Oryctolagus cuniculus: one gene and its partners. The protein of the gene in region 5 interacts with the protein of the main gene of each other region in a pairwise test. Links are inferred from orthologs where the notes say so. Each region holds a gene or a part of one and is shown on either strand. Other genes may lie near its edges. The genes, in order: GNL3L, PSMF1, TASOR2, POLL and LDOC1.

Evidence for each region.
Region 1: the proteins of LDOC1 (region 5) and GNL3L interact in binary tests that used the Homo sapiens proteins (3 or more experiments, as listed by UniProt). The two-hybrid records come from large-scale screens. The link is inferred for Oryctolagus cuniculus from reciprocal best matches to the Homo sapiens genes LDOC1 and GNL3L.
Region 2: the proteins of LDOC1 (region 5) and PSMF1 interact in binary tests that used the Homo sapiens proteins (3 or more experiments, as listed by UniProt). The two-hybrid records come from large-scale screens. The link is inferred for Oryctolagus cuniculus from reciprocal best matches to the Homo sapiens genes LDOC1 and PSMF1.
Region 3: the proteins of LDOC1 (region 5) and TASOR2 interact in binary tests that used the Homo sapiens proteins (3 or more experiments, as listed by UniProt). The two-hybrid records come from large-scale screens. The link is inferred for Oryctolagus cuniculus from reciprocal best matches to the Homo sapiens genes LDOC1 and TASOR2.
Region 4: the proteins of LDOC1 (region 5) and POLL interact in a two-hybrid assay, tested with the Homo sapiens proteins (2 studies listed by BioGRID and IntAct). The two-hybrid records come from large-scale screens. The link is inferred for Oryctolagus cuniculus from reciprocal best matches to the Homo sapiens genes LDOC1 and POLL.

The regions. Positions count from the first base shown.
Region 1 is NC_091453.1:38,617,804-38,623,902, forward strand, and holds part of GNL3L (guanine nucleotide-binding protein-like 3-like protein), read left to right. Parts: intron 1-166; coding exon 167-303; intron 304-1,980; coding exon 1,981-2,108; intron 2,109-5,711; coding exon 5,712-5,931; intron 5,932-6,099.
Region 2 is NC_091442.1:27,065,608-27,072,258, forward strand, and holds the start of PSMF1 (proteasome inhibitor PI31 subunit), read left to right. Parts: upstream 1-2,957; 5' UTR 2,958-3,136; intron 3,137-4,680; exon of another isoform or gene 4,681-4,745; intron 4,746-6,505; exon of another isoform or gene 6,506-6,651. UniProt on the Homo sapiens protein: Plays an important role in control of proteasome function. Inhibits the hydrolysis of protein and peptide substrates by the 20S proteasome. Also inhibits the activation of the proteasome by the proteasome regulatory proteins PA700 and PA28.
Region 3 is NC_091444.1:79,649,568-79,655,666, reverse strand, and holds part of TASOR2 (protein TASOR 2), read right to left. Parts: coding exon 5,939-6,099; intron 2,192-5,938; coding exon 1-2,191.
Region 4 is NC_091446.1:28,331,711-28,338,601, reverse strand, and holds the start of POLL (DNA polymerase lambda), read right to left. Parts: upstream 4,014-6,891; 5' UTR 3,910-4,013; intron 3,647-3,909; exon of another isoform or gene 3,532-3,646; intron 3,527-3,531; exon of another isoform or gene 3,300-3,526; coding exon of another isoform or gene 3,194-3,299; coding exon 3,028-3,193; intron 2,047-3,027; coding exon 1,752-2,046; intron 1,575-1,751; coding exon 1,412-1,574; intron 465-1,411; coding exon 147-464; intron 1-146. Other genes in the region: protein DPCD, read left to right, coding at 4,014-4,114.
Region 5 is NC_091453.1:119,607,533-119,613,485, reverse strand, and holds LDOC1 (protein LDOC1), read right to left. Parts: upstream 3,596-5,953; 5' UTR 3,232-3,595; coding exon 2,791-3,231; 3' UTR 1,988-2,790; downstream 1-1,987. UniProt on the Homo sapiens protein: May have an important role in the development and/or progression of some cancers.

The DNA of each region.
Region 1 (6,099 bases), about 81 Mb from region 5:
ACCGTGTACCCAGTGATTACCCAGCCACTCAATTCCTTGCTCAGAAGCCAATGTCAGTTTTCTTGTTCCTCACCGGTTTCTGCCTTGAAACTCGTCCTCTCTTTGCTTGGGCAAATTTGTTCTCTCAGTGACATCTCTGCCAATCTCTCCCCACCTCCCAATTTAGTGGGAAGATCAGCTTCTACACACCACCACCACCGACCCATACTCTGCCCGCCCACCTCAGTGCCGAGATTGTTAAGGAGATGACTGAGGTCTTTGACATTGAGGATACGGAGCAGGCCAATGAAGATACCATGGAATGTAAGTGTGGTGGGTGGGTACACTTGATTTTGCCCTAGTGGAGCCACATAGACCTGACAGCAAATCCCACATTTGACCTCTCCCTTCCCTGATCCCACTCAGGCTTCAGGGCAAGTTGTTTAGCAAGCTCTATGCTTAATTTCTTATCTAAGGTGGAGACTTCTACTCTGGATCATGGGGGTTGTGGTGGTTGTGTGTTTTTGGTAGATAAGAAAGAAATATGCAGATATCTTATACCTGTTGAGGTGTTCCAGAAATGTAAGGCTCCATTCCTGTCCTTGGGACCTGGAGTAGACATTTTAAAAAACTGTTTCTCTGATGTTTCCCTAGGCCTTTTCTTAGCCATTTCAGGTCAGTTCCTAGATTTTCCCTCTTATCTCCATTTGCAGGTCAGATATCCAAGTCATAGAAAGGCATTTTGTCACTGGCGGGTTAAGGTGGCCTTCAAACCAGCTCTTGAAGACTTAAGAGTAGCTAGGTGGATTGAAATCCAAGATTTGTTTTTTATTAGCTGTGTGATCCTTCACTTCTCTCTCAATGATATCATCTGTAAAATGGTGACAATAGCACCCTCCCCAAAAGGTAGAAGTGAGGATTTATTTAATATGTAAAAGACACTTAAAAAAACAGTACCTGGTGTATAGTAAATAAATACTCAGCAAATGTTAGCTGTTACTAAGATTATTTGCTGGAGTTCAGAGGCATGCCTTTCAGAAACTCCTGGGGAAATTTGTCCCATTCAGACACTACCCTCTGCAGCTCTGCCTTGTGGCTCCTACTTCCTTGTCTGCCCTAAAGAAGGGTGGGCCTTTCTCTGGGCCTGTCTGTAGACACTCTGGCCTAGTTGAGAAAGCTCTGGATTTCTGCTTTGAGTTTCTCTCTAGGGCCACTGGGTCTTTCAGTGTCCTTGAATTCCAAACGAGGGAAAGAGGACTTGCCTGCTTCCTAGTGCATTCCTCATGTGGCGACAGGCGAGTTGGTCCCCCTTTCTGAATGAGTTATCCTTGTGTCAGCCAGTGATTGAGAGTGGGTAGAGCTCATGTTCTGATGATGACGCTTGTCCCTGGCTGGATGTGAGGTCAAGAGGGACTCCTTTGCTGAGAGTGCTGAAGATGGAGACTTGGCAGTTGAGAGAGGGTGAGGGAGAGATGAGTGGTGAAGATTTCCCAGAGGAGTTGGCCCTAGGGCTGGATCTGATCTTGAAGGGTGAGTAGGGATGAGAGGGGCCAGGGGAGGGGTGGACTAAGGTGTAGAAGCAGGCTTGAGCGTAGCATGGGCACAGGGCAGTGGGCACACCTAACAGTAGAGGCCAGCCCTAGGCAAGGGGCCAATGGGAGGAGGGGGAGTCCCAGTGGCTACCATTTACCGAGTAGCAGTGTGGCCCAAGCATCGTAGATGCCCCCTGCCATGTCACACAGCAGCGCTGTGTGAGTAGCCTTATGGAATCCCCATTTTTCAGATGAGGATGCTCAGGCTCCAAGGCTAGCTCAGTAGGCGGGTGTTTTACTGCAGAAGCCATGCCATGCTTTTAATACTTTGTCATGTAATCTCTAGTAGGAATGAAAAAGCCACCAAGTGCCCTGGGTAGCACCCATATATCCTTTCCACTGGGGGTTGATGAGGGACTGGTAGCAGGGACAGGTCAGGGCCCTGACAGTGGTGTTGCTTATGTTAAAGGTTTGGCCACAGGAGAATCAGATGAACTGTTGGGTGACACAGACCCACTTGAAATGGAGATCAAGTGGCTTCATTCTCCGATGGTGAAAATAGCAGATGCCATTGAAAATAAAACCACCGTGTACAAGGTACCTGTTCTGTTTCTTCCTGGCAGCCCTTCACTCTGTCTAGGGCTCTTAGAAATGGTCCCTGCCTTCTGCCTGGCTTCCATGAGGTCGTGAGACATGCGTGGTTCACTCACTCCCTGAGGGATCCTGGGTACTTGGCACGGTGCATCATTTGCCAAGCAACGACAGTTCCAGGCGGGAGGCACACTCTCTCAAGCAGCTTTCCCAGGCCTATTCTAGCCCATAGAATAGGCATCATTGTCTGCTCTCCTGGTTGTCCAAGTTGCAAATGGCTTTTTTTTTAAAGATTTATTCATTTATTTGAGTTAGACAGAGAGAAGGAGAGGCAGAGAGAGAGAGAGAGGTCTCTCCATCCTCTGGTTCACTCCCTAATTGGCCACAATGGCTGGAACTGTGCCGATCTGGAGCCAGGAGCCAGGAGCCAGGAGCTTCTTCCAGATCTCCCACGCGGGTGCAGGGGCCCAAGGACTTGGGCCATCTTCTACTGCTTTCCCAGGCCATAGCAAAGAGCTGGATCAGAAGTATAGCAGCCGAGACTCAAACTGGTGCCCATATGGGATGTCGGCACTGCAGATGGTGGCTTTACCCGCTACGCCACAGCGTCGGACCCCCTGGATACTAATTTTTTTAAAAAAGATTTATTTATTTGAAAGAGTTACAGAGAGAGAGAGAGGAAGAGACAGAGATGTCTTCCGTCTGCTGGTTTATTTCCCAGATGGCTGTAATGGCCAGGGTTGTGCCAGGAGCTTCATCCAGGTTTCCCACATGGGTACAGGGATCCAAGCACTTGGGCAATCTTTTGGTGCTTTTCTCAGGCCATCAGTAGGGAGTTGGATCAGCAGTGGAGTAGCTGGGATGCAAACTAGTGCACATATGGAATGCCAGCATCCTGGTCAGTGGCTTTACCAGCTGCACCACAATGCTGGCCCCCTGGATACAAACCTTTAAAAATATGTAGTTTAAACATATTTTGATTTACTTGGAGGACAGAGGAACCCAGAGAGACAGAGATCTTCCACCTGCTGCTTCACTCCCACAACAGCTGGGGCCAGGACCCCAAAACTCTATCTAGGTCTCCCAGGTGGGTGGCACAACCCCAAGCACTTGAGCCATTCTCTGCTGCCTCCAAAGGTGCACATTAGCAGGAAGCTGGATCAGAAGCAGAGTCAGGACTTGAACTGGCACTTTGATATGGGATGCAGGCATTGTAAGCACTGACTTAACCTGCTGTGCCACAGCATCTGCCCCTGGATCCAAGTTTTCTTAAGTACCCTCCTATATAGATACAAGCAGATGCAGCTAACTTTTAATTCAAGCAATACCATGCTATTCACGTTGTTGTGTACTTTGCTTATTTTACTTACAAATTCATCCTGGAGCCTGTTCCACATGATTATTCAAAGGGCTGTTATTTTTTTTTTCATGGCTATATGCCTGGAAGGATTTCTTAAGCAAGGGAGTGACATGGTCAGATTTGTATATTACAACAGTCATTCTGGTGGCTGGAGTAAAAAATCAGATTAGAAAGAAAGGGGCCAGGGAGTGGGCATTTACCCAGCAGTTAAGGTACTTGTGTCCTACATCAGAGTGCCTGGATTTGATTCCTGGCTCTGGTACCAGTTTAGACCCTGGGAGGCAATGGTGATGGCTCAAGTACTTGGGTTCCTGCCACTCATGTGAGCGATGTGGATTGAGTTTCCTGCTCTGAAACTCCATTAATTGTAGGCATTTTGGGGAGTGAACAAAAGGATGGGAACTCTGTTTCTGTCTGTCTGCCTCTGAAATAAATTCGAAGAGAGCAGGAGAGAGGATGTGAAGAAAAGAGGGATGGGGGAGAGGGAGAAAGGGCAGTAGTGGAGATCATGGCAAAAGCAGGGAGTTCAGGGAAGAAATTATAGTCTATAGTGAGTCTATAAGAGAAGATGGGGTCTGAACTCTGACAGTGGCAGGAGCCACTCTGTCCCATTCTCACATAGTCTCAGAGGTGCCCTGTTGCTTAAAGGAATAACATCGTGAAGTTGTGTGTTTTAAGTTCACTTTCCCCCAATAATACCTCTCACTAAACCCATAAGCCCCAGAACATAGCATTTTCCCTCAAGAACCTGTACTCTCATCAGGGCCACACCATTGCACAACTCTGAGCGACACCACTTAGGGACACTATATTATGAATGGTTTCCCCATCCCTATCCCAGGTAGTACAACGTGATTTAAAAATTTTTTTTATTTATTTGAAAGGCAGAGGTACAGAGAGAGAGGGAGAGAGAGACAGAGAGGTCTTCCATCTGCTGGTTCTCTCCTCAAATGACTACAAAGGCCAGGGCTGGGCCAGGCTGAACCTAGGAGCTCCATTCAAGTCTCCCACATAGGAGGCAGGGACCCAAGCACTTGGGCCATCTTCCACTGCTTTCCCAGGTGTGTTAGCAGGGAGTTGGATCAGAAGTGGAGCACCCACCCAGGACTCGAACCAGCACCCATATGGGATGCCAGTGTCACAGATGGTGGCTTAACCTGCTGCAACCACAATACGGGCCCTGGTACAGTGTGATCCTTGATTAGATCCACCCATCTTGGCTTTTCCCTGTGATAAGATAGTGAGTGGTCATACATATGGGTTCTGGAGCTAGGCTGCTTGGGTTCTGATTTCCTCTACTGCCTACCAGCTGTGTGACCTCAGGTACCCCATTTGCATAGTATTGTTACAAGGTGAGTTAATACAAATATATAAATGAGATAATACATGACTTAATGGAGATATGTTCTGCAAAATGGATCATTAGGCAATTTTCTCATGTGTAAACATTATGGAGGGGACTTATACAAACTAAGACAGTTTATGGCATTGCTTGGTGATAAATCTTATGGGATCACCATGTACATGCAGTCCATTGTTGACCAGAATGTCTTCCTGTGGCTCATGGCCAAACATATGTGTTTGTTGTGTGTGTGTGCACATGTGCTCACAGTGGTGCCTGGTACACAGTGAGCTTTCTGACAATAATGGCTGCTACTACCCACTTGTACCTTTCACTGCTGCCAGATAGATCCCCTTTTTAGTGCCCAGGTATGCTGTGTACTTTTCCACTGTTCAGTCAGGAATGACTCTCCCTGTCAGTTGTATGTTGACCATGCCATTGCCCCCAGCCTCTCAGTCACTTGGCCTTCATGTCTCTAGTGGGCAGTTACTATTACCGTACTCTGACTTGTGGTATACATTGTTCTATCCTCTGTAGCCTCATTGTTCCATGGGGCTGGGACTGAGTGTGATTCATTTCTCTGTTCACAGCGTTGCCCCATATGGAGCTGGGCACAAAATAGATATCAGGAAACATGTTAAATTGAGTAGGACTTTGAAGGGGCATTGCAATATCAGTTATTATTGATGAAGTAATTCTTTCATTTTATTCTTGTAAAAGCTATACAGGCTGCCTGTTATCTAGTCCATTTGACAGAGGCTGAGAGCAAACTCAAGCGTGCTCACATGTGGTGGAGCCAATGTTGAAGTTCAGTTCTGCATGGCTCCAGGCTCTCTGTTTGTACCCAGGCCTGTCCCTGCCTGGTCTGCAGAAGTCTTTGGAGGTCTGTTATCTTCTCTCTCTGCAGATTGGAGAGCTCACTGGGTATTGCACTAAACCAAACCGTCATCAGATGGGGTGGGCTAAACGCAATGTGGAACACTGCCCCAGGAACAACAAGGAGTTGAATGCCTGCCCAGTGGACCGCCGCCCGATGCTGCAGAAGATCATGGAGACCGACCCCCTGCAGCAGGGCCAGGCTCTGGCCTCTGCCTTGAAGAATAAGAAGAAGATGCAGAAGCGTTCAGGTGGGGACACGTGGCCATTGCTGTGCTCCAGAATGGGCCTTCCTGGGGCTTTGAATAGGGGCTCTTGAAATGAGCATCTCTGTGTGTCCGACTCCAGGCAAAGCTTAGGGGGCAGAGATGGTTTAGGAGGCTCAGCTACTAGCACAGTAGTTCTCAAGCTTTACCCTG
Region 2 (6,651 bases), on a different chromosome or scaffold from region 5:
AGACCCGAGCGGTTTCTACACCCAGACTAATTGTCTCCACCCTGAATGCTTTTCCTTATACCTATGCTTTCCTTTCCCAGGAAAATTGGATATCCACGCACAAAAGAATGAAATGGGACCTGTACTCACATCGTCCCCCCAAATTAACTCAACATGGATCAAAAACGTAAACATAAGACCTAAAAGGATAAAACTCAAAATCATAAAGCAACAGAGATTCACACTAGATTAGCAGTGATTTCTTAGATATGGCATCAAAGACACAGGCAGCAAATAAGAAAAGTAGACAAATTATTAAAATTAAAAATTTTTGTCCAAGAAAAGAAACAGTAAAAAGGTAACCTGCAGAAATGGAGAAAATATTTGCAAATAAAATACCTCATATGGGATTAACGCACACACACGCAATCCCTAAAACACAAACAATCCAATTCAGAAGTCAGCAAGAAGCTTGAATCGATATTTCTCCAAAGAAAACATAAAAATGGTCAATGAAAGATGCTGAGCATCACCATCAATAGGGAAATGCAAATCAAAATCACAATGAGAGAGCAGTTCACACCTGTTAGGATGGCAACTACCCAAAAACCAAATGTAAGCACTGGCCAAAAGTATAGAAACTGGAACCTCAGTGCGTCAATGGTGGGAATGTAAAATGGTACAGCCACCAGTGGAAACCAGTTTGATGGTTTCTAAAAAAACTAAAAATAGGGGCTGGTGCTGTAGCACAGTAGGTTAATCCTCTACCTTCAGCGCCACTATCCCATATGGGCACCGGTTCTAGTCCCAGCTGCTCCTCTTCCAATCCAGCTCTCTGCTACGGCCTGCGAAAGCAGTGGAGGATGGCCCAGGTCCTTGAGTCCCTGCACCCACATGGGAGACCCAGAGGAGGCTCCTGGCTCCTAGCTTTGGATTGGCATAGCTCTGGCCATTGTGGCCATTTGGGGAGTGAACCAGTGGATGAAGACCTTTCTCTCTGTCTCTCCCTCTCACTGTCTGTAACTCTACCTCTCAAATAAATAAATAAAATTTTTAAAAAAGTAAAAGTATGGGCCAGCACTGGGGCATAGCAGGTAAAGCTGCCACCTGCAGTGCTGGCATCCCATATAGGCACCATTTCGAGTCCCAGCTGCCCCACTTCTGATCCAGCTCTCTGCTGTGGCCTGGGAAAGCAGTAGAAGATGGCACAAGTTCTTGGATCCCTACACCAGCGTGGGAGACCTGTAAGAAGCTCCTGGCTCCTGGCATCTCATCAGCACAGCTCCAGTCATTGCGGCCATCTAGGGAGTGAACCAGCGGATGGAAGACCTCTCTCTCTCTCTCTCTCTCTCTCTGCCTCTGCCTCTACCTCTGTAACCCTACCTTTCAAATAAATAAATAAATCTTAAAAAAATAAAATAATAAAAATAGAATTACCATACAATCTGGCAATGCCTATTCTAGGTACATACCCCCAAAGAAATGAAAGTAGAGTCTTTTTTTTAAAAAAGATTTATTTATTTTACTTGAAAGTCAGAGTTACACAGAGAGAGAAGAAGAGGCAGAGAGAGAGAGAGAGAGAGAGAGATCTTCCATCCGCTGTTTCACTCCCCAATTGGCTGCAACAGCTGGAGCTGCACCGATCCGAAGCCAGGAGCCAAAAGCTTCTTCTGGGTCTCCCACGTGGGTGCAGGGGTCCAAGGACTTGGGCCATCTTCTACTGCTTTCCCAAGCCATAGCAGAGAGCTGGATAGGAAGAGGAGCAGCCAGGTCTCGAACCGGCGCCCATATGGGATGCCAGTACTGAAGGCAGCAGCTTTACCCGCTACACCACAGCACTGACCCCCAAAAGTAGAGTCTTGACATTTATTCATGTTCATAGCAGCATAACTCACACAAGCCAGCAGGTGGAGGCCGCCCAAGTAGCCATCATCGGATAAATAAAAAAAAAAAAGTGTTATACCCAAACAATGGAATGCTATTTAACCTTATAAGGGAGGAGAATTCCGACTCAGCTGCAACATGGATGAATCTGGAGACCATTATGCTGAGTGAAAGAAGACAATCACGAAAAGATGAATAGAATATGATTCCACTCATACGTGCTATCTGAAGTAGACAAACTCATAGGGACAGAAAGTAGAATGGTGGTTGCCCTAGAGTGCAGGGTGGAAAAATGGAGGGTCATTGTTTAATGGGCACCAAGTTTCAGTTTTTGCAAGATGAAAAGGGTTCTGGAGATAGACGGTGATGATGGTGGACAACAATATAAATGACATTTTAAGAGTTTTTACTGCGGCTGGTGTTGTGGCATAACAGGTTAAGCCACAGCCTGCAATGCTGGCATCACATATGGGTGCCAGTTTGAGTTCTGGCTGCTCCACTTCCAATCCAGCTCCCTGCTAATGTGCCTGGAAAAGCCCCTGCACCCCGTGTGGGAGACTTGGATAAAGCTCCTGGCTCCTGGCTCCTGGCTTCAGTCTAGCCCAGGCCTGGTGTTGTAGCCATTTAGGGAGTGAACCTGTGGATGGAAGCATTCTCTCTCTAACTCTGCCATTCAAATAAATAGATAACACTTTTCTTAAAGTTCATACTTAAATTAGTTAATAGGATAGATGTTTTGTTATTGCATTTTACCAAAATGTTAAAAATCTTTAAAAAAAAAAAAAACAGAGCTACCTTAAAATTCTCTTTCCAAAAATAAGTTGTCTTTTCCAGGTACCCAGTATGCAGAGGACAAGGGGAATGGGAAGTCCTGGGCACCAGTCTGCCATTTGGTCGAAGCAAAGAACACCATTAGTCACATAAGTCTTCCTGGAGTGGGTGACGTGTCTGGCTGACAGAAGGCCAAAGGAAAGGAAGAATCCCAATGTTGAGTGATAGATATCAGTGCCTGTCTGGGCCCTGCCCCCTCAAACTCATTTCTTCATGGTTTCTAGGGAGACAGGGAACTTAGAATGTCCACATTGCTGTCACTTGGTGACCAGCAACAGATGGCTGCAGCCACCTGCCAGGTTCTTTCCATCTTCCTGGGCCCTCGTCTCTGGCATGGGCTCTGTTCTGCCTAGGTAGTAGGGGCCCATCCAGGGAGGCACCTGCCACTTGCTTGTCAGCCACTCACAAGTCTCACAGGGCAGCCTTGGACTCGCTGGTGGAGGTAAGTCCACACAAGGTGTGGGATTGCAAATCTCCAGCCCAGGTTCCTACCCAGGGAGGGTCCTGGGGCCAAGGGAGACAGAACAAAACACAGGAGACAGAGCTCATCTCATTCTTTCAACATACAGAGCTAGCACCTACTTCCTAGCAGTTGCTGGGACACAAACTTTTTAAGGTATAGCTCACCCTTAGTTGGGAGAGAGAGTCCAGAGGAGCCACCATGGCAACGCCCTGTTCACTCCTCAGTAGGGATCTCTAGGCACCAAAGACTCCTTTCTTGCTTGCTCTCAATTCTGCAACTACCTGCCAAAGGGCTTTGTATGATCCCAGAAGCAGCTATCTACCTGTTCCAGACACAGGTGTCGGTGAAAAAACCCCAGCCGACTCCCTCAGCTGGGAGCTGGGAGATACATCCTGTGCTGCCTCCAGAGCTCCCAGCAGGAGTGAGCTCCAGTTGCCCACAGAGTGGCTGGGCTGGATCACACCCTCCCTTCCCTTCCCATCTCATGTGCCCTCTCCCCTACTGCTACTTCCTGGACTCTGCTCCCGAAGAAACCCGCACCAAGACAGAATTAGAGAGTGTAACAGGGAAGCAAAGTTCAACGAGATAACGGCTACAATCAGGATTACACAGAGTGGAACCAAGGGTGGCAGTGAGGGAACTGTCTGCCCAGGTGCTGGTGTCCAGGGGTTGTACATTGTCTGTTTTTTAAAAAAAGCCTTATAATTAGTAATAAAACTGACCAAATGTCAGTGTGCTTTTTATTGCCACCATGAACCAGAGAGTCTAATCAACTTCAATGATAAAATTCTCCTTTCCACTGAGACTAACGGCTCTCACTGTCCCAGGCCCATCCCTTGGCATCCCACTGATGCCAACTGCACAGAAGAAAGAAAAATTAATTGTAGGCCAAAGAGACAAGGGGAGGCCTCACTCGGAAAGCAGCAATGACCTTCTGATCACACAGAACCAGCTGCATAACACACTCCGTGCCTGAGTGCATGCTCTTCCCTCTTACCTTTTGGTCCATAATCCAGTCCCAATCTTCCATCCACGTTCTGTACAGTCAGCCACCTCCTCCTCTGGGAAGCCCTCCCCGACCCCCACTCTGTGTTAGGTGCTTGCTGTGTGCTTACAGAGGCTCCTGAGTACCCCGTTATTAGGGAAGTTTTCACAGTGAGTTATCTTTGTATTTTTTTACCACTAGACAGAGCAAGAGCCATAGGAACAAGAATCAGCTGGCTCGTAGCAGGCATTTGGGAATAGGGCTGCCATTGCACAGGCATCTTTGTGCCGTGCATAGCCTGCTCCATCATCCATGGAAGTCCAGTCTATGAAAGTGGGAATGAATCTGCAAGAATTTTCCTTAACTGGGGAAGGACATTACAAGCAGAAGGAACAGAGCAAGCAATATCAGTGAAGCTGAAAGCCCAAGGCTTCTCAGTGGAAAGGATAAATAGCTTTACAGCACAGGCAGTATGCCTCAGATAGTTCTGTCACTACCAGCTTTAGCTTTAGCATCAATCAGAGTGCAGTCAGCTTACCTGTCTGCATCTCACACCTGCTCAGCCAGAACCTCAGCAGATGGGGCTCAAAGAACCTGGAAACCCTAGGACCACAAAACAGGAGAGGCACAGGGTCAGCTGACAAAGTGAGCCCTGGACTGCAAAGGGGGAAACTAAGCCAAGAATTCCTTCATGCAGTATTCATGCTTTGTTCCTCTCAGTAGGTGTGCATTGAGTGTAGAAGCCACCCAGGGGCAGCTGTGCACAAGACAGACATGGTCCCTACCACCGCTCTGTCACAGTCATTTAGGAAGACATTTTTTCCCCAAAAAAAGCAATAAATATCTAAAGTAGTATCCGGTTATGATGAATGCTTTGCAATAAAGAAGTCAGGGTAAGGGTTAAAGAAGTTTTTCTGGATGAGGTGGTCAGGAAAGCCCCCTGCTGAGGCTGGGGGGTGGTGAGGGAAGGGGCTCCTTAGAATGAAGGAGCAAACCATGAAGATGTTTGGCGAAAGAGCATTCCCAGCAGAGAACGCAGTACAGTCAGCCCTCTGCACCTGCACCTATACTGCATCTGCAGATCCAATCAACTGCACATGGTAAAAGAAAAAGTGCATCTGTACTGAACACACAGACTTTTTTCTTGTCATTATCCCCTAAACAACACAATGCAATAGCCATATACATAGCATTTACACTGTATTATGTATTATAAGTCATCCAGAGGCAAATGAAGATGTGTGTGGATTCCATGTAAATACCACACTATTTTCTATAAGGGATTTGAGCACCCATGGATTTTGGTATCTCAAAGAGATCCCGGAACCAATCCCCCTAGGGACACAAAGGCCTGGGGACATGTGTTGAGGCTCCCATGTGGTGGGGGAGCCTGGTTAGGAGGCAGCTGTAATGGTCCAAGTGTGAGATGCTGGAGACTTAGAACAAGTGGAAGTGCAGGTGGTGGGAAGTGCAGATGCAGAATACATTTTGAGGGTTGGGCCACATTGGATCAACAGCAGAGGGGAGCCAAAAAGTATGGCTGCCCCCAGCACAGGGGATGTGGGTCCAGATGGAGAAGATGACGTCAGCAGAGCACTGAGCTGGGGCAGGGGCTGGCAGACCACGGGGGAAGATTTTGCTCTTCCCCAGGGTGGAAAGGGAATCCTGTGAGGTCCTGACCTGTGTCAAATGAGTCTCAGGTTGCAGACTGCAGAGGAGCCCACAGCAAGGCAGGGTGAAGGGGGGCAGTGCTGAGGTTGGGGCTATCCAAGGGAGAGCCCACCATGGCATGTACGTGAGGAAACTACATTGATTTGAGTAAAAGCACTGACCGGACTTCAAGAAATGATAGAAATCACGAAGGAGAGAGGCAAAGAAATGACTGAAATTCGGTAGTGGGTCAGGAGTTTTGGCTCTGAGGGCAGAGCCAAGGCTTCTGGGAGAAGCGGCTTCAACCCTTTGTCATCTGCCAAACGGGCTGATGGAAAAAATGGAACTCCCTCGCATAGTTGTTGAAGGAGCTATGCAAAGGTTTTGGTACAGGATGCAGCTCACAATAAACACTTATAAAGGTTATCCCAGGAGCCAGACTGTGGGTTTCCAGAACCATCCAGGCCACTCGCTGGACGGCTGCGTTGCTTCGGTCAAATGGTCCCTCTGTGCCTCGGCTTCCTCGTCTGTGAGATGATTATAACACTAATACCAACTACCTAGGATTGTTCAGTAAGTGAACACAAGTAAAGCGTCTAGGCACGGCACGGCACACGAGCTAACAGTTACTGCGACTATTCCTGGGCCATATTCTCTAGCTTCTTCTGCACTCGAGCACTCCCCCATTTGCGGATAGGGAGACTGTGACTCACAGGGAAGCGTTCCCTCCTCAGGGTCGCAACGCCATGGCTGTAGCAGACCCTGAGGGCTGTGGAGGGGCTCAGGAGACTCTGGCTTTGAAGCGCCGCTTCCTGCACGCGCGCTCCCTGGAGGAACCATTCAGCATCGCGCTAGCGTT
Region 3 (6,099 bases), on a different chromosome or scaffold from region 5:
TTGGGATCTCTAGGTGCACAGCATCAGTTCCATCAATGGAGTCAGAGTTCAACAGATTGGCCTTACTTGAACTGCCATACTCTGTTTTCAAATCACTGTGAAAGAAATTTTTCTTAATGCTTTTAGGGCTAGTCTGCTGTTTTATTGGCATATTCATTATATCACTTAGAGTAGCTGTAGAAACTAATGTGTCAGCCAAAGACTTATTTTCATTAATCTTTCTAGGACTAAATGGAGGTTCACTGGACTCCAAGACAAGATGTTTTAAGTCCAAATGTCTGTTCTCTATGCTAATTGGTTGCAATGAATTTCCCGATTTTACCAGTTTTTCAAGGGAAGGCTTGACATTACCTTCATTTTGGCCAGTTGAGGCAGGCTGGTTTAACTTTGTATCATAGCACTGTACCTCCTCTGAGAAAGATAAACCCTCATCTTGCTCAGTTGGGACAATTTCCTCTGTTACTTTACCAGGAAGTGCTAGTCTATCTTTTCTTCCTGGATGATTGTTTAATGCTTGAGGAGTATCAGCAGACAGTTGAATTTGTTGTACCTGAGTGAAATTACCTTGTCTTTCAGTATAGTTAGGCCCAATTAAAGAATTTTCTTTTTCTGTTATGGCTAAATCTCCTGACACAATCTGGGAGAATTTGTTACTTTTCTCACACTGTGTACCATAAAGTATTAAACTACATGGTGACACAGTCTGAGTTGGTCGTGTTTCTTCAATTGATACTGGAGGGTCAGGACTAGAAGCTGGTGACACTTCCTCAATAAGAGAATCAAAGCGAAAGTCAGAGGTAATAACTTCCTCTGCAATTTCAAGGGTACAATTTTCTTTAGAAAGTATTAAAGTAACTGGTTGTAAATTATCACTTTTCTTCTCTTTATTTTCTAATAGTTTTTTTGACATTGCAGGATACACTGAATTCACTGGTCTGTTTTCCATGAGGGTCACCTCTTCTGGCTCAGCTATTTCTTCAACTACATCCTGAAGTTCTATATTTGATAATGGGACATCCTCAAGTTGCTCATTTTCATCAGATGGCATTTCTTTTCTGGGACTTGAAGGTGGAGATATTGTTAGAGTTAAGTCAATATCAGAATCCTCCTCTGATAACTCTACACTAACTTCTTCTCTATTTGGAGACAGGCTGGTTTGTTTAGTGGCAAATATTGAATTAAATGATTCAAAATGCATATTTTCATTGTTTATACCACTCTTGTCATTCTTTCTTAGTTCAAAAGAGTCATCTGATGTATTGATTTTTGATGGAATGCAGTTAAGTGAATACTTTTTCTCCAAGGTGATAGAGGCTGATGGTGAGACTACTTCAACCTGTGATGGCTCTACTATCTCTTCTGAACATATGCTAAAGAGATTCTGAGTCTGCATAAAAAGTTCTTGAGACTGTTTCATTTTATCATCAGCTAATGGATAACTAGAACCTTTACCTAACAACGTCTTCATTACCACTGCATTATCAGATGGTGATGAGATTGTAAGAGGTATCTCTTTCTGTAAGGAATATGTTTCTTCAGCAAGTGTTCCATTAGTTACTAAAGAGGCAGAAAGGTAATTAGCACCTTTCTGTCCTGACATTGCTAGAGGTGGAATGCCCCCAAGACTTTGTATTTGTGACTTCTCTACTGTGGATACAGGATGTCCAATACTTGTAGTAGGTGATACTTGCTTAATCAACTCTGTATTAAAGGTAACTGGTTTATCACCTCTATTTACAACTTCTGTCTGTACTGGTACATAGGCATTTTTGTCAAATGTAAGAGTAACCGGTTCCAGATTAATCATTACATACCCCGTATCATCTGTCCTCTCCAAGGAAGGCTGCCATTCATTGCTTATGGGGCTTCTACGATGGATATGGTCCTGTAAAGCACCTGTGTTTGTTTGCATTTGTGCATGAAAAATATCAACTTTGCTTTCAAGGGTGCTGCACACAGACTTTTGACACATCACTGACTGATTGCTGGTCTCACTGTAAGTTGTGGTGAATGGGACTTGTGTGACAGTATCATTGTAAGGAACCAATGTTGTGCTATCAAGTTGCTGAAAGGTTTTATCTTTACTAGGAACAGAAAGTCCATTAATTTGGGCATTTCCAATATCAGAAAGCATAAGTTTAGAAGTCTCCGATTTAGCTGATGATTCTTGTTTAGTTTTTTCCCCAATTACCTGAAATGATAAAAAAAATCAAATAAATGAGTTAAGACTATAAATACACCATCATTTCAAACTGTCCCATGAGGCAACACTATAAATTAACTACAACTGAGAATACAATAATTCAGATAAATTAAGGTCCCTTCTCCCATAGCTATCCTTTTTACTTAAAACTGGACAGAATTCTTTCTTGTTTTAATACTTCTTATTCCACAGATCAACAGAAAACTTATCAATGTGGTTTGCATTCCTAAAATAAAGGGACTGGATTAAACAATAACAAGATAGGTTAAATATTGGCAGAACTACCGGAGGACAATTCTAATAACCTTATGGACAGGCTGTTTTGTTTTGTTGAAAGTCTCAAGTATTGTCTTTTCCAGAATATGGTAAAATGGGGAGATTACACAGATTATGCCTCTAATGTTTGGAATTTTATGCTTACAGATTACCTACTGTATCTTGAAGCATGCTGGCAAGTCAGGATCTGGGTTTCAAATCTCTATCTTTTTTTAAAAAAAGTTTACTTTTATTTATTTGAAAGGCACAGTGACAGAGCAAGAGCGATCATCCATCTACTGGTTCATTCCCAAATGTCTACAACAGCTAGGGCTGGGCAGGGTAGGAGCCAGGAACTCCATCTGGGTCTCCCATATGGGTGGTAAGGACCCAAGCACTTGAACCATCATTCATTGCCTCCCAGGGTGCACATTAGCCTCAAATCTCTCTAAAACCCTTTCTGTCTTAACCAAAGAAACATTAACTTAATTAGGCAGCAGGGTGGGCCTGAGATGAGGTTTTATGTAGACAAAACATTAGAAAAGTCTTGATGGCAGGAATTTTTCTGAGAATATTCCTGTGCTATTCCCCCAACCCAGCTATGGCTGATAATATTTGGCCACCTCATGGTCTTAGTGAAATGCCAACATGACAATCGTGATATATTTATATTTAAAAATTATTTTTAAATGTATTTACTTATTTATGGGGGGGGGGGGGCAGAGAGAGCAAGTGAGCTCCTATGCACTGGTTCATTTCTCAAATGCCTACAACGGCCAGACCTAGGTCAAGCTGAAACCAGGAGCTGGAAACTCAAACCATGTGGGTAGGGTAGAAGGAACTCAACTACTTGAGCCATTACCTGCTGCCTCCCAGGATGTATATTAAGTTTGAACTGGGAGTGGAGGCAGTACTCAAGCTCAGGATCTTTGATATGTATGTGGGCTTTCCAAGTGGCAGCTTACCAACAGGTCAAATGCCTGCCTGGATCTATTTTTTACTTCAGATACAGTGTGATATTTCTAAAATAAAGTCTAATATTATAAAGAACTCAATTCAGCATATGAGTACAACAAAATGCCACTGATTTCTGGTACCTGTCTGGAACCCCCTTCATATCCCAAGGTGATCACTTGTTGAGGAAGTGAATGGCATATACAACAAATCTGTGCATCTTTTCAACTGCAGGCACTATAACTAAAAGATGATGGAAAAACTTTCAACTATAGAGTGAGCATTACTAATCTGAATCCAAACTGAAATACTTTGGGTACTGAATTCAAATTTTTGAATTGTACAGCATTTTAGATTTTACATTAGGGATGCTTAACTGGTGAAGTCTACACAAATATCCAAAATCTGCAACACTTGTCCTAAGCACTTTGGGTCAGACTTGACCTGTATAAATGCTAGAAAGATTGTTAGTAATCACTAATTTTAATATTCCATTTTATAGTTCTTTATGCTGTATTTTCATGTTTGCCAAAAATCATTCCTAAGAATAGTATGATGATAGGTAGTTACATTACCATTAAATATTACAAGAAGCAAAAGGTACTGTTTTTAAAATTTATTTATTTGAAAGGCAGAGTTACAGAGAAACAGCGGCAGGGAGAAAGAGAGAGGTCTTCCACCTGCTGGTTCACTCTCCAGATGGTCGCAATGGCCACAGTTGTGCCAATCCGAAGCTAGGAGCCAAGAGCTTCCTTGAGGTCTTCCATATGGGTGCAAGGGCACAAGGACTTGCGCCATTTTCCACTGCTTTCTCAAGGCCACAGCAGAGGGCTGAATTGTAAGTACAGCAACTGGGACTCGAACCAGCAGCCATATGGGATGCCGACACCGCAGATGGTGGCTTTACCTGCTAAGCCACAGCACCAGCCCCCAAAAGGTACTTTAAGAAACTATTACGTGTATGGGGCAATGCCATCTGCAAAAAACAGCTGCCATCTGTAACACTAGTATCCTATACAGGCATTGATTAGTGTCCCAGCTGTTCCACTTCCAATCCAGCTCCCTGCCAATGGCCTGGGAAAAGCAGCAGAAAATGGCTCAAATGTTTGACCCCTGCCATCCATTGGGAGACCCAGATAAAGCTTCTGGCTTCAGGCTGGTCCAACCGTGGCAGTAGCAGCCATCTGAGGAGTAAACTGGTGGATGGAAGCTCACTCTAACTCTTTCAAATAAATAAATAAATCATATAATATATATATATATATAAGAAGTATTTATTTGGATAGTAATCAAAATTTGCCTGACTAAATTACATTTTCTTATGCTAAGGTGGTAATTCTTAATTGTTTTTTATGTACCTTTTAAACAATCAGATGAACTTTCTGAACTCCATCTTCGGGGGGAAAAAGCACATATATGACTACAATATACATAAACACAAAAATATGCATCTTTACAGAGGTACTTCAAAAATGAGAAAAGTTTATTTTGGTGCAAAAACAATTAAAATTCATGTATAGTTCTTTCAAAAAATGCTCTCTCCATGAATTTTTGAAGACTCCTTATATATGTACCCACATACACTGAATCTGACATTGACAAACATCTAAGCTGCCTAGATTTGAGTCTTGAGAATTTACTGCATGATTTTCAACAATTTCCTTGCTTCTCTATGCCACAGTTTGCTTATCTACAGAATGTGGAGAATAACAGTCCTTACCTCATTGGTTTGAGAATTGAGTTACTGTTATTAAAGGGCTTAGGACACCATCTGGCATGTATGCTCCCGAAATCTTAACTTTGATAATGATCCTGCTCATTTTGCAAGCCCTCTAAGGCTCATAAATGGAATGAGTAACCCCAGGTTTAGAATTATTGCTTACCCAATGTTAAGACAGGCATCATAGGTGCTATCTAAATCCATGCTAATTTATTCTAGAATAAATCCATACTGAAAGCATAAAATGATAGGCATTTTGTCAATTCATTTACTTAGAATTTTGTTACAACTTTTTGACTTGTTGCAGTTAATATCTGGATTATCTGGTGTGGCTGAAAATCAGTTAAAAACAGTAGAGTTCCTGGCTCCTGGCTTAAGCCTGATCCAGACCTTGTTGTTGCATCAGTTTGGGAAGTGAACCAGCATACAGATCTATTTCTCCCTCCCTGTCACTCTGCCTTTCAAATAAATATATCTTTTTTAAAAAATTTAGAAAATAAGTTGAGAGAGAATAAACAATCTGTTCCAAATGATAAAACTAATAACACAATTATGGTGAGCTTCCAAAATATTTAACCTATGATTTTTTCCTACTGTTTATTTCCATCAGGATGACAGATAAGATCCACCTGCAGAGAACTGAGTGACACTTAAAGAAAATCAAGTTTTTGGTCCAATAATCCTTGTATACCTAAAGAATTCACCTTTCTGAAGTAAACAATACCTTGTTTTGAATGTGACTTTATATACAAAAAACTGAAAATGTCTGCAAAAGTAATGCCAGCATTTACAGTATTCAGTCTTACCTCACTATTGCACGAATAGATGAAATTCTGGCTTTCTGAAGTATCTAGATGACACTTTCCTGCAAAAATTTCTTTCTGTTCATTCTGTACACAGAGTTCCAAGCCTTTGACAGGAGGTGATTTAATGAAAGGAAGCAAGCAGTTATGGTCAGGGAAGGATA
Region 4 (6,891 bases), on a different chromosome or scaffold from region 5:
TGCTTTCCCAGACTTGTGTTTTGTGGCTTTTGTGTAAATCCCAGACTTCCTAAGATCGTACCCACCATAGCTGATCCCCAAGTGGACTGGCGTCCATGAGCCCCCAGCAGGGCAGGCCCCAGCCCTGCCCCTCAGCTCCCAGGTACCTGGTAGGAGGAAACAGGCTTGGGGAAGCTCTTGAGGGCATTGATGGCTTTGGCATAGCCCAGAGCCCTCCACTTGTCTCCCTGGACGCTGTAGGCTTTGGCCAACACTTCCAGCTTCTCCGTGATGTGGGAGTTGTGGTTGGTTGCCTTCTGGCTCGAGGGCTGTGCACAGACCCATTTCTCCAGGGCCTCCGGGGCTGGGCTGGGCTCCGTATCTCCCTCAGGGTGGGTGGGGTAGTGGCCGCTGAGCAGGGCTTCCAGATCGGCAGCGCTAACCTGGGGCTCTTCCCCATCGCTGGCTTCATCATCAGAGGTGGGCTTGAGGTAGGGAAGAACAGCAGATAAGTTCTGGCCCTCCAGGAGGGCGGCTCCTTGAAGGTAGAGGTTGGCTTTGTGTGTGTGGGGGGGGGGGTCCCCTTTGCCAGATCCAAAAATGAGGTTGGGTCTTTGCATCAGTCTTAGGGTCTCCCTAAGTCTGGGGTGTGTAACTCACGGCTTCCCTGAGTGGCGAGCCCCAGGATCTGCACGCATGCGTGGGAATGGCCTAGGTGAAGGCAGGGGTGATGAGTGTTGGGAAGAACAAAATGGCTTCATAACCAAGAGAGCATTCCTCTCTCGGGAGCCTGAGGCTTTCTTTTTTAAAAAATTATTTCATTTATTTAAAAGGCAGAGTTACAGAGAGAGAGAGACAGACTTGGGCTGTCTGCTGCTGGTTTCCCAAGCACATTAGCAGGGAATGGGGCGGGAAGTGGAGCAGCCAGGTCTTGAACCGGCACCCATATGGGATGCTGGCACTGCGGGCGGAGGATTTATCTGCTATGCCACAGTGCCGGCCCTGGACTTTCTTTGTTTAAAAACTGATTATTTTGGAAAGGCAACTGGGAAAGAAAGAGGAACAGAGGAAGAAAGAGGGAGAAAGGTGTCTTCCATCTGCTGATTCATTCCCTAAATGGCTGTAACAGTTAGGGCTGGGCCAGGCGAAAGCCAGGACCAGGAGCCTTGTTCTGGTCTTGCCCATGAGTTCCACTTCCACTCAGCAGGAACCCAAGCACTTGGGCCATCTTGTACCGCCTTCACAGGCACACTAGCAGGAAGCTGGATGGAAGGCACAACAGCTGGACTCAAACCAGCACTCTGATGTGGGATGGCCATCACAGGTGGTAGATTAACCTGCCGCACCACAACACCAGCCCCCACCAGCCCCTCCTCATTCTGAGATTTGGTTCCCAGGGGAAGGAAGCTGTGGGGGCTGGGTGGCTCCTGACCTGGGCTTGGGTGCTTGGTGCCTTTCCTGCCTTTGGGGGAAGAGCTCCGGGTCTGGTGGGAGGGGACGCAGGAGAGAGGGCTGTCCTAAGCAGAGCCTCGTGGGTGCCAGGAAGAGGAGATGAGTCTCCATCTGCCTTACTGGGCTGCGGTTGGTCCAAGTACCTGCAGGGATGGTGATGGGAGATTAAGACACCAAAGGTCTCACCTTTTCTCTGTTCCTGTTCGTTCTCCACTCTGAGCCCTTAGTTTCCAAACATGTCCAGTTAAGAAAATAACAGTTGTTTTTAGGCACTCAAGATGCTGCGAGATAGGGTTTGAGGACACCTGGGGCCAGCCCACCTGCTGGGGACGAAGACCTGGAATCCAGCCGTGTCCACCAGCCTTTGCTCCTGCAGGCACAAGCTCAGCCACGCCGACTTCACCAGCCGAGCACCTGCGGGCAGCCGGGGCAGTCTCAGGAGGCGCAGGGCCCGCTCACAGTCCACGTCCTCATCCACCACGATGTGAGTGACCCCTGGGGCCTGGGCAGGGCACACCTGGCCGCCATGCTGGACAACCTGCTTCTCAAAGAGTTCTGCCCGGGCTCGTCCGATGCCGGTGGGCACAACGTGGACCCGCAGGGAGTGGAGCCACTCTGTGGAGAGGACATCCAGATGCGAGGTCATAACTTTCAGACAGGGCCTGAATGAGCCATTTGGTCTCCGCCTCCCAGATCAGTCGCTCCCTCCAGAAGCCTGCCTCTTGGAGCCTGCTCTTGGAGCACACAGCAGGCTGCCTCCCGGGCATCGTGTAAATGGAAAGGCTGAGCCGGGCTGAAGCCAGGAGCCCAGAGCTCCATCCGTGTCTCCCACGTTGGGGACAGGGGCCCAAGTACTTGGGCTATCCTCTGCTGCTTTCCTACACACATTAGCAGGGAGCTGAACCAGAAGTGGAGCAGCCAGGACTCAAACTGGCTCCCATACGGGATGCCAGCAATGAAAGTGGTGGCTTAACCCACTGTACCACAACGCCAGCCCAAGAGCAGGGATTTTTATATGCCCTGTCCCTTGTGTAAGCTAGAACAGTGCCTGGCACACTGTGGGTAACCTATGAATATCTGCTGAATGAATTAAGAGAATGAATGCCTTCTCTCTCTCGCTTTATTTTATGATCTACTCTTTCAACAAAAGCACATACTACTTGCTGTTCCAGGCTTCTTGCCTTTACTGGCTGGCTGATCTAACACTGTCCTCGTCAGCCCCTTCTCAAAGACTCCAGCAGCTACTGGTCAATTTGGCAACAAAACGACCTACACCAAGCCTGGGAAAGTGAGTGGGATTTCTGCCCTGCCCCCCAGGGCTGTCACACAGAAAACAGAGGATTCTACTGGTCTTTTCCTGAGGGACGGGGGAGTATTTTCTGGTTTATGAAGGTCGTGGGGTAGGGAAGATGCTAAGGCAGCAAGCAGCCTGTCAAAGAAGGGGACAGAGCTTAGCACAAGGCAGGTGCAGACAGACTGGCGGCCCCTGGGCCAGAAGAGTCAGTTCTACTCTCCGGCTCCAGACATCAACGATGTAGGGCTGGATAGAAGAAGGCTGAGGGTTCAAGTACACGAGGGTTCCTAGAGTCAGCTCACCTCCTGCTGCTTCTCCTTCTTCCCTCTTGGGAATCTTTGCAAACGCTTTTAGTGATGAATTGGCATGAATTTTCTTCCGCTTGGGAAACGCCTTCAAGATGCCCCCGGGGTCCATGGAAGCTTGCTCCTGGCTTTTCTGTCCCAGGCTGGTCAGAGCAGCTGTCATGTGGAACCTCTTGGCCTATGGGGATGCGATCGCTACCTACCAAATCTTGGAGACAGCCACTTGCTTCCCAAGGGTCTCCCACGACCCAGTTACATTTTAGTGCCATGAGCCTGCTGTACACTCCCCAGCCTCTCAAAGTTGGAGCACGAAGGGCAATGAGGGAAAGAGTGTTCTTTTTAGGTGTGGGAGATACTGAAGCGTCAAAGGGGGATCTGCCTCCCGCATCCCACTTCCAAAGGGTTTTATCAAAACGTGCCGGGCTAGCAACGGAGCTATCTGTGTCTTTAGGAAGCTCTTGGCCTCCAGAGGAGTGCAGCAGGAGGGGATTCTGCGCCTACCCTACATCCTTCTCTAGCACCAACTCTTCAGAGGAAAAACCGGAAGGAGGGTGGGGCAGGGGCAGTGGGAAAGCCTTGCACCTGCCCTTGTCGTGGGCCACGGCTTGCGGGTGCTGAGCCCTGCGGCTGCGGGCAGATGAGGCACAACCGCAGCAGGTGTGGGCGCTCTCAGGGACTGGGGGAGTCTCAGCCTCACAGCTGGGGGTGAAGACCCGGGCAGGTGTGGGACTCCGCAGCAGCACAGCTGGCGAGGGCCAGGGACTCTCAGCTGCGGGCCAGAGGAGAGCTGGAATGTACGGACCAGGCCTTAGATTCCCACGCATCCCCCCCCCCCCCCCCCGACTCGGCCCCAAGCACGGGCAGGGGTAAACGACTTACCAGGGGCGCCAATGAGCGCGGACGGAGGTGGGAGGGGGTGGGAGGGAAATGCCCGACAACACCTTCCGGGTCACCCGGAAGTGCCCAGCAGCAGAACGGTTGCCATGACAGCGGCCGGGCGCGCTGCAGGATTCAGGGAAGATGGCGGTGACCGGTTGGTTAGAGTGTTTGCGGGCTGCGGAGAAGACGGCGCTGCTGCAGGACGGTAACTCAAGGGCCCCCGCGAGTTCCCTCGCCCTTTCCCTCAGGGTCCGGTGCCGCGTTCTGGGGCCCCCGGGAAGGGCCCGAGGTCCCGGGACGGCAGAGGTGGAAGGGTCGCGACCGTGGCCCAGGCCTGCATTTGTAGAGGAGGAAACTGAGGCCAGAGAGGTGACGTCACTGAAACAGGTGTCCCCGGACACCTCCTGGTATCGTTTGCTCCGTGTCGCTCCGCTGTGGTTTTTGTGAACGACTTTGCTCCTCCCCGGCATCCTGAGATGCTAATTTTCCACCCCGTTTTACAGAAGGGGAAAGCAGACATACACGGTTTTAGACCGGCCCAGCTCCTTCAGCCCGTCTGCTGGATGTTGACCGGGGACCCCCTGAACCTCAGTGCGGAGGTGCCGTCGGGGAGCGGGAGACTGGGCTGTAGGTCTCACTGCGCTGTTAATGCCCCGTGGGCTTCTTGGCGCGCTGACTTTCCTCATCTGTAAGGTGGGTGCACTACCGCTGTGACCGCTGGGATTGTTTTCAGCTGTGTTGATAGCTGCGCAATGAGACCCTCTAAATGCTTCCAAGGTCTTTAGAGCCAAGAGCAAGGTTCTGTGTCTGGAAGAGGTGGACACAGGGAATTGGGTCTTGACTACAGGGAATTGGGTCTTGACTTTTTCCCACCTTAGATTCCCCGATGAGGACCCCTGTGCTTTGGGGTCCTTTTCTGGACCCACATGGGAGCCAGGGTGAAGTAGGTCTGAATTCCTGAGTCTTGCAAGCTGATGGGTGGGGGCGGGCAGGGACTGTTCTACAGCCAATCAGGAAAGCCTGGAGTTTGTGGACGTTAGAATCAGCTGCTCATTTGCTTGCTCACTGATGCAACGTTTGGGAAGGTTTTGCTTTATGCCAAGCTTTGTGCTAAAGTAGATGGAAAGTAAAAGACATGGCCCAGGAGTTCACGGGATGGTCCTGAAAAAGACGTAAATATAAATGCTAGTGTTGGTTAAATAAAGGTGGGAATATTTTTAATTTTAAGACTTAGTTTATATATTTGAGAGGTGGAGTTACAGAGAGAGAGGTCTTCCAAATGCTGGTTCACTCCCTAAATGGCCCCAATGGCTGGAGCTGGGCTGATGGGAAGCCAGGAGCTTCTTCCGGGTCTCCCACATGGGTGCAGGGGCCCAAGGTCTTGGGCCATCTCCTGCTTTCCCAGGCCATAGCAGAGTGGAGCAGCCGGGACACTAATCGGCGCCCATGTGGGATGTGGTCGGTGCCGCAGAGGCTTAGCCTACTGTGCCGCAGCGCCGGCCCCGAAAGGGAGTCTTGTATCCAAGGCCGGGAGAGCCTGAAGTCGAAGTGATCATGTCTTTGGAGAGAGACCCAGCGGAAGAGGTGATGTTCCTGGGTCCCAAGGAATTAATGAGTGTTTGCTTGTAAGTGGAGAAGAGAGGGTGGAGCTGGTCATGGGAGGGCGAGGAGGGCTGAGAATCTAGGGCTGGTCACTGCATTTAGAGATGCTAATGCAGTCACCTGTCTGCACGGTGTCAGGCGCTGGGGCACAGGGTGGACAGAAGGGCCCCATTTCTCAAGGGGCCGAGAGGGAAAATGGTAGGATCTGATGGGATGGGTATCAACTGAGGTATATTGCAATAGCTCACTTAGGCTGTGCTAGAGATCTTAGACGTTATCTCACAGGCAGTGGTTTTTGGTTTTGTATTATTGTAAAAATGTGTTTAGAGCTGTGAGCATTGTCGCCATTTGAAGGTCTAAAGTTCAGTATCATTAAGCACGTCACATTGTGGTACAGCCATCACTACCTTTCACCTCCAGAATCTCTTCTTCCCCAGCCGGGACCCTGCAAGCTTTAAACAGAAACTACCTCCCGCCTGCCCGCAGCCGCCATTCCACTTTCTGCCTCAGTGACTTTGGCCTTTAGTGACCTCAGAAAAGTGGTGTTGACTAAAATAATCAGAATCTGGTTGAAATTGAAGTTTGAATTTATTCAACAAGTCAGACTAAGCATTTGAACCCAGAAAGAGCTGATCAGTTGCCCGAGTTGGCTGTTCCACAGCCCAAGTTTGGTTATAGGTTTTATACTTTTTTTTGTTTTTGCTTTTTACAGGCTGAGTACATTTATTGAATGAGGTTTAAATAAGATAAATTTATGTATGACTGTTAATCACATTGAACTTCTGGTAATAGTTAACAGACTTGATTATTGCTTAAGGAGGTACATTACATTTTCAGACCCATTCCCACACAACTGTATTCATAGTGTCAATCCCTCTTCCCACAACAGTGGCCCTAAAATGTAATGCTTACTCCTTCTTAAGGCACAGTAGATGTTTCCCTGGTCAAGGCTAAAGTTTGTTGAAAGGCCATGTTACCAGGAAACCAGCTGCAGGGCATCTCCATGGCACTGACTGCTTCCTGGCTGACCCAGGCCTCTGCAGTTACCATCCTACTGTGTGTGTGTGTGTGTGTGTGTGTTTAAGATTTATTTATTTATTTGAAAAGCAGAGTTGCAGAGAGAGAGCAAGCAATCTTCGATCCGCTAGTTCACTCCCCAAATGGCTGCAACAGTGGGAGCTGGGCTGACCCTAAGCCAGGAGCTTTTTCCTGGTCTCCCACATGGATACAGAGGCCCAGGACTTGGGCCATCTTCTGCTGTTTTCCCAAGTGCATTAGCAGGGAGCTAGATTGGAAGTAGAGCAGCCAGGATTCGAACCGGTGCCATATGGGATGCTGGCATCACAGGCAGCAGCTTTACCCACTATGCCACAGCGCCGG
Region 5 (5,953 bases):
GCATTGAGCCACTATGAAGGCAAGTGCCACATTGCACTCACTAAACCTCTCTAGACCCTGTCAACATACTTGTCCCATGAAAAATTTGGAATGAGTGGCCCACCTTTGGTCTCACTGGGTTCTTTATTTAGCTTTTAGCTATTGCCCACCCATCACGTTCCCACTTTCAACCACAGTTCAAGACATTCGTAGTCAGGAAGAAACTGATTATCTGGCTTCATATATATTATGTCTGAAGTTTAATCTATCTGTCTTCCACAGGTCTTTGCATGCCTTCTGAGGAGACTGAGGGAGTGATTAATGGCACCTTGACAACCAGAAATCATCTTTATTCAGGTTTGGAGGGAGCAGCTCCCTGAAGAGCACCAGATTTCATTTCCACTCAGGCCTTAGCCTCCTTTGTCAAATCATATCCATTCCTGTCAAGTCATGTCCATTCTTGTCCCCATTCAGAGCACTGCCCCAGGCCCAGGAAATGACTCCAGCCTGGACTTGGTCTGTTCACCAAGTAAAATTGCTTTTTGCCTTCATCAGACCCCGAAGAGTAAATAGTCTCAAAAGGCTCTCACTTCCAACCTCTCCGATCCTGCTGTGCTCCTATTCTTCCCGACATTTTCCTACAAAAACCAGCTTATAGACAGAGACCTGCTTTCTGAGAGTTTGGTTTCCAGACTCACCAAATGGCAGGCCTTAAGGGAATAATCATATTTAAGCTATACCTGCAAGCTAAAATGATGACCAGTATCTCATTTAATGCATACTCTGAGATTTAACAGCATGCATAAAAGAATATCCTGCTTCAAAAGACCTTAAGACCATGTGTGTGTGTGTGCACGTGTGTGTACATATATATATAATCTAAAAATATATATTAGATTATATATATATTTTATATATTTATATATATTATATACATATTATATATTTTATATATATATATAAATTCTAAATAAATTAGATGTCCTGAGGTCAGGCTGGTTCCAGGGCTGGCATAACAGTGACATTTTGGGAAGATATCAATGGGAATGAGAACTCTGAACCACTCAAATCCTCCTTAACCTTCATGGCTTCAAGAGGTAGCCCTCACAAACCGCATAATACAGCATCTGTTCATTAAACATTTCAGTGACTTAACCTGGGGTAATGGCTTCACAGAACTACTCATTGTTCTCAGCATACACCCCTGTGAACCCGTGGGATCACCCATGCTCACAGAGTTCTCAGCGTAGCCTAGCCAGCAATACAGTACCTGGTTCATGTGATAATCAAGCTCCTTGCTAATTTGTATAACAAGAATCTGGGCCACTTGTATGGGTGGGAACCTGACAATATGTGCCCAAGGCGGATGAAATGTTAAGATCAAACTATACTGATTATTGGTATACTTACCCAGGATACAGGATTTAAGATTATCTCAAGTACCAGGAAGTAGTTTTAAAACAATGTGAGATGTCTGTAAATCAGAACCTGAACTCAACAGCAGCTCACAGGCAATAAGGGTTAAGGGACAGAGCTTCCCTGACAGTGTTAAGGAACCCAAAAGACAAGCAGGGCTCACACTGGGGGCTTCACAAAGTTCACTGAAAATGTACATTATTTTAGTTCCATTTTCCCATGGACTTCATGAAGCCCCTTCATGCATGTGTCCAGGTTTATACGCTTGCTGTGTCACCATGATTAGTAATAGCATCCCCTTTTACTCTCAAAAGTGTCCTGGTTTGGGATGATGAGCCACATGCTCAGCCACCCCTTACCCATGCCACCCTGGAGGCCCCAGAAGACATTCCGTTTGGGCTTTAAGCTATGCCTTGGTAAGGGAAGCATTGGAATATTTTTAAAGCCCCGTGGAAACTGTCCTCTGTAGCCTAGAGATGACAATAGGGACCACTGGGATTGAATTGGACATCAATGGGAATAGCAGGAGTCAGTGTGAGCATGGCAGATGCCAGTGATAGCACTTAACCATTAAAAGACAATCATTTCTCACTTTTTGTAGTGCTTGATATTTATTGAAAATAATGCCAACTTTTTTTTTCCAGGTAGTATTGAGGAGCTGAGCTTAGTGCGTTTTTGCTTTTTGTTTGTTTTGTTTTTAGAAACATATGTTCAACCACACACATTGGTGGGGCTGCTGCAATTATGAAAGAAAAACGACAGTTGTGCATTAGAGAAAAGAGACATCAACAATTTGGTTGCCAGGCACACCAGGTCCCCGCAGCACTCAGGCTGGGTAGAGGACCCTAGGAGTAGGTAGGGAACTAACCAGGTTGAAAAACAGCCCCTTGAGGGGCCGATGAGCTGTCCAAATCAATGTCCGAAAAGGTGTAGCCAAGTCAGAAGTCTTCTGTGTTGGTCCTTGTCTCTAAAAGCGATGATCTGTCAGAGGCTTGCAGTGGGCGATGGCGCAGTGGTAGCATGAGTCTCTGTGCAGGTGTAGGCCTGGCAGCGAGGCAGGTGGCAGCAGCAGTGTGATCTGAGCAGTTTGTAACAGGGGCCTGGCCTATAACTGGGGCTTATGACACAGTTCAGATGAGGTGGGGAGAGGTCCTGGGGCTAGGCAAATCAGATGACCGGCTTCAGGGTGAGGCCCCTGCCCAGCCCCAGCAGCAGGTAGCTGGAGCACTACTCCTGGAACAAAGACAAGCACTTCGGGGGTTGGGGAGGGGAGAACAGGAAGGCAAGGGGAGTGCAGCAGCTCCGGAGGTCGGGTGGGATGGGGTGGGGGTGGAGGAGAGGGAGAAGTGGCTGCGTGCAGGGCTCTCCCCTCATAGGCCCCCAGCGGCTCGGGGCCTAGTAATCATCCTCTTCATAGTCGTCGTCGTCGTCTTCGTCATCATCCCAGCCGAAACACTGCTTCATCTCATCCAGGAAGGCCCGGTAATCGCCTAGGATGGGGCTATCCATCTCGATGTAGGGCACCACCCACTCCTCGGCTTCCCCGGTCAGGAGGCTGATTAGGAATGCCACCTTCATGGCGTCGTTGCAGAACCGGTTCTCGTTCACGAGCATGTAAGACGCCGTCTGCACAATAAACTCGGGGAGCCGGGAGCTCTCGCCGTTAAACGTTTCAGGGAAGGGCACCGGGCAGCTCGGCGGACGTACCTGGCGCAGCAGGCTGGCCCTCTCGCAAACCAGCAGCCGCAGCTGTTCCATGAGCTGGCTGTTCTCGATGCTCAGGGCGCGGTGCCTCACCAGCAGTGCGTGCAGCAGTAACACAAGCTCGTCCACCATCTCGAACAGCTTGAAAGGTCTGGGCTCGCTCGAGTAGGCTCCGCTGGGCCAAGATGCACACAAGAGGCCTTGCAGGAAGTGCGTGTCCTATAAAGTGCTGTGGCCAGGGGCGGGGGACGGCGAGCGTGGGGTCCCGGCGGCTGCGCAAGCTCCGCCCCCGAGGCCACTCAGGCAGGCGGCGCGCCGGCGCAGCAAGGTGCGGGCGGGGCCGGGGAAGAGGCCAGGACGCAGTGGGGGCGTGGCCTGGCTGCCGCGAACCGTTGGAGGGGACTTGAGACCAGGGAGGGAGTGGCCGGGGAGGGAAGCGCAGGGTCGCGCAGTGTCGCGGAGAGCAGACAAGTGCTGGCTCGCTAGGAGAACTGGTAAAGGCTGTGAAATGGGGCCGAGCCCCGGATGTGAGGCCTGCGTTAGCCTAGGGCCTGGCGGGCACTGAGCGCCATGTCGCAGACAGCCGACTCGCACAATTCACTGTTTCGCGGGTCTGCAAACGCCAGTTTCTTGGGTGCGATGTTTTGTTGATAGGATTAATCGCCTTTTCAAACCTCCCCTAGAGAAGTACTGACGCTGCTGACTGCCCTGCTGCAATCACCGATCCTTTCAGAGTCATAAAGACTCTTAAGGGGTCCGGGCTTTCGTCGCAAAGCGGTATTTGAACAGGGACTTTTATTTAGAAACCATTACTAAGTGTTGAAAAAATTCTGAATAGAGGCTTATAACAAGTTCTGCAAAGTCACCATCTGATAAGCGCTTAAGGTGACCTCCCTGTGTGGCTCTGTTTCACGTCCTGATATCAGAGCCTGTGGCAATGGTTGTTATTCTTAACAATGAGGAAACCATGAAGACATTTGTGCTCTTTAATGTTTTTTTCTATTTGAATGTGAATATTCAAATAGTTTTTGACAACGAATGCAGCCCTCTTTGTCACTTCTACCATTGCCAGACCGCTAAAAGCAATCACTTTTAGCTTGCTTTCTTCTCTTCCTACACTCTGTTCTCTATAGAGTAGCTGTGGGAATCCTTTAGCGCAGAAGTCAGATCCCTTCCCTCCCTGGCTCAAAACCCTCCAATAGTTTCCCCTGTCACTTAGAATAAAAAACAAAGTCTTGACCATGCCCTATAAGGAAGGCCCTGCCTACTCTCCTAGGTCTCCCATTCCCAGTTCTGCTCTAATCACACCCCACCCCCTGCTGATTCTTACACATATCAGCTAATTCCAGCCTCAAGGCCTTTGTACTTTTTATCCCTCTGAATTGCAAAGCTCTTCCCAGTTAGAGGCCTGGCTCCTCCCCTTACATTCCTACAGAACTTTCCTGAGCACTCCGGTTCTCAGAGCGCCCTGTTCTGTGCCACCCAGTCTCTAACCCCTTACCTTATATGTTTCAATACAGAACATTTATCATCATAATCCTGGCCAGCACATTGTAGAGCACTTTGTTCATCATCTGCCTCCACTGTAGAATGTAAGTTGGTGCAGAGAGAGGCTTTGTTTGCTAGCTGCTTTATCTCTAGTGCCTAGAAGCCAGCCTGGCCCAGAGAAAGGTCTCCATTAATGTTTGGTGAATGATAGCATCTCAAAATGCAAATGTTGAGATGAAAACTAGAAATGGTGGCTGCACAAAGTGTCCAAAAGGATTCTTCAAATTATGTAGTGCAGCTCTGATGATGAAATCAGTCATAATACAAATAACAAAATTATTTTTTAAAGTAATCTCATTCACTCTTTACAATAGAATTGAATGGTCATTCATGGAAGTGGGAGGCTGGGAGAGAGAACCAGAGCCAAGGCCCAAGTAGAGAGAGGAGGAAGGAATACACTGCTCAACGGGAGAGTAAGGAAAAGAGGAAATAGAAACGTGAACCCTTAGATCCTCCTAAGAGCTCCCTCTTAGTTCTATGAGATCCCCCACTAGATAAGCAGAACCTTGAAAGCAGACAGGGAGCTGCTCTCACTCAAACTTTGACCTTTGATATCTGACAGTGTTTCCTAGATAGTTCAAAAATGTGTGGTGGATAACACAAAGGGATGGATGGGAAATATCACAGTGTGTTTCCAGCCATCATGCCTATACTCAGCTCAGCGTGCAGGATGGCCTTGGTAGGGATGGCCTTGGCTGGCCATGGTTGTTTACACATCCCGAGATTCACAGAGCGTATCTAAAATCACTTCCTCTTTCTAAACTCTCACGTCCCAACCCAATAGTTCCCCTGTTCAAAAATCAATCTAAGTCCAGGTATCAGACAACTAGGATGCCCCTTACTCCCTCAAGACTGCTAGAATTATTTAAACAAATCGACCCTAAACTGTTTACCCAGCCCTGCCTTGCCTTTCCCACAGATGCCCCAAGAAAGACTGTAGCTTTTGGTTTCCCTACACCTTTCTGTGCCCTGACCAAAGTCTTGTACTCCCTCCCCATGGCCCTGCATGGTGTGCTGTGCTCCCTCCACTGGAGAAACACAAGTAATACAAATCTTTCAGTGCCATTGGCCTCTCTGTGTTTGTTGTCAGTCACTTACTCTAAAATCTTGTGGGTACAAGTCCAGGGAGGACTCTAAAGGGTGCACATGTGCTCATTGGTGTCCTTGTGCATCTGTATCCAAGCAGGCAGGAACACACAGCTTCCGTGTAGCGTGAAGGCTGTGACTCACAGTGAGAACTGGCAGCATCGCAGTTAGACAAACAGAGATTTAAAAATCAATCATGTTTTCTCCGGGAAATATATAG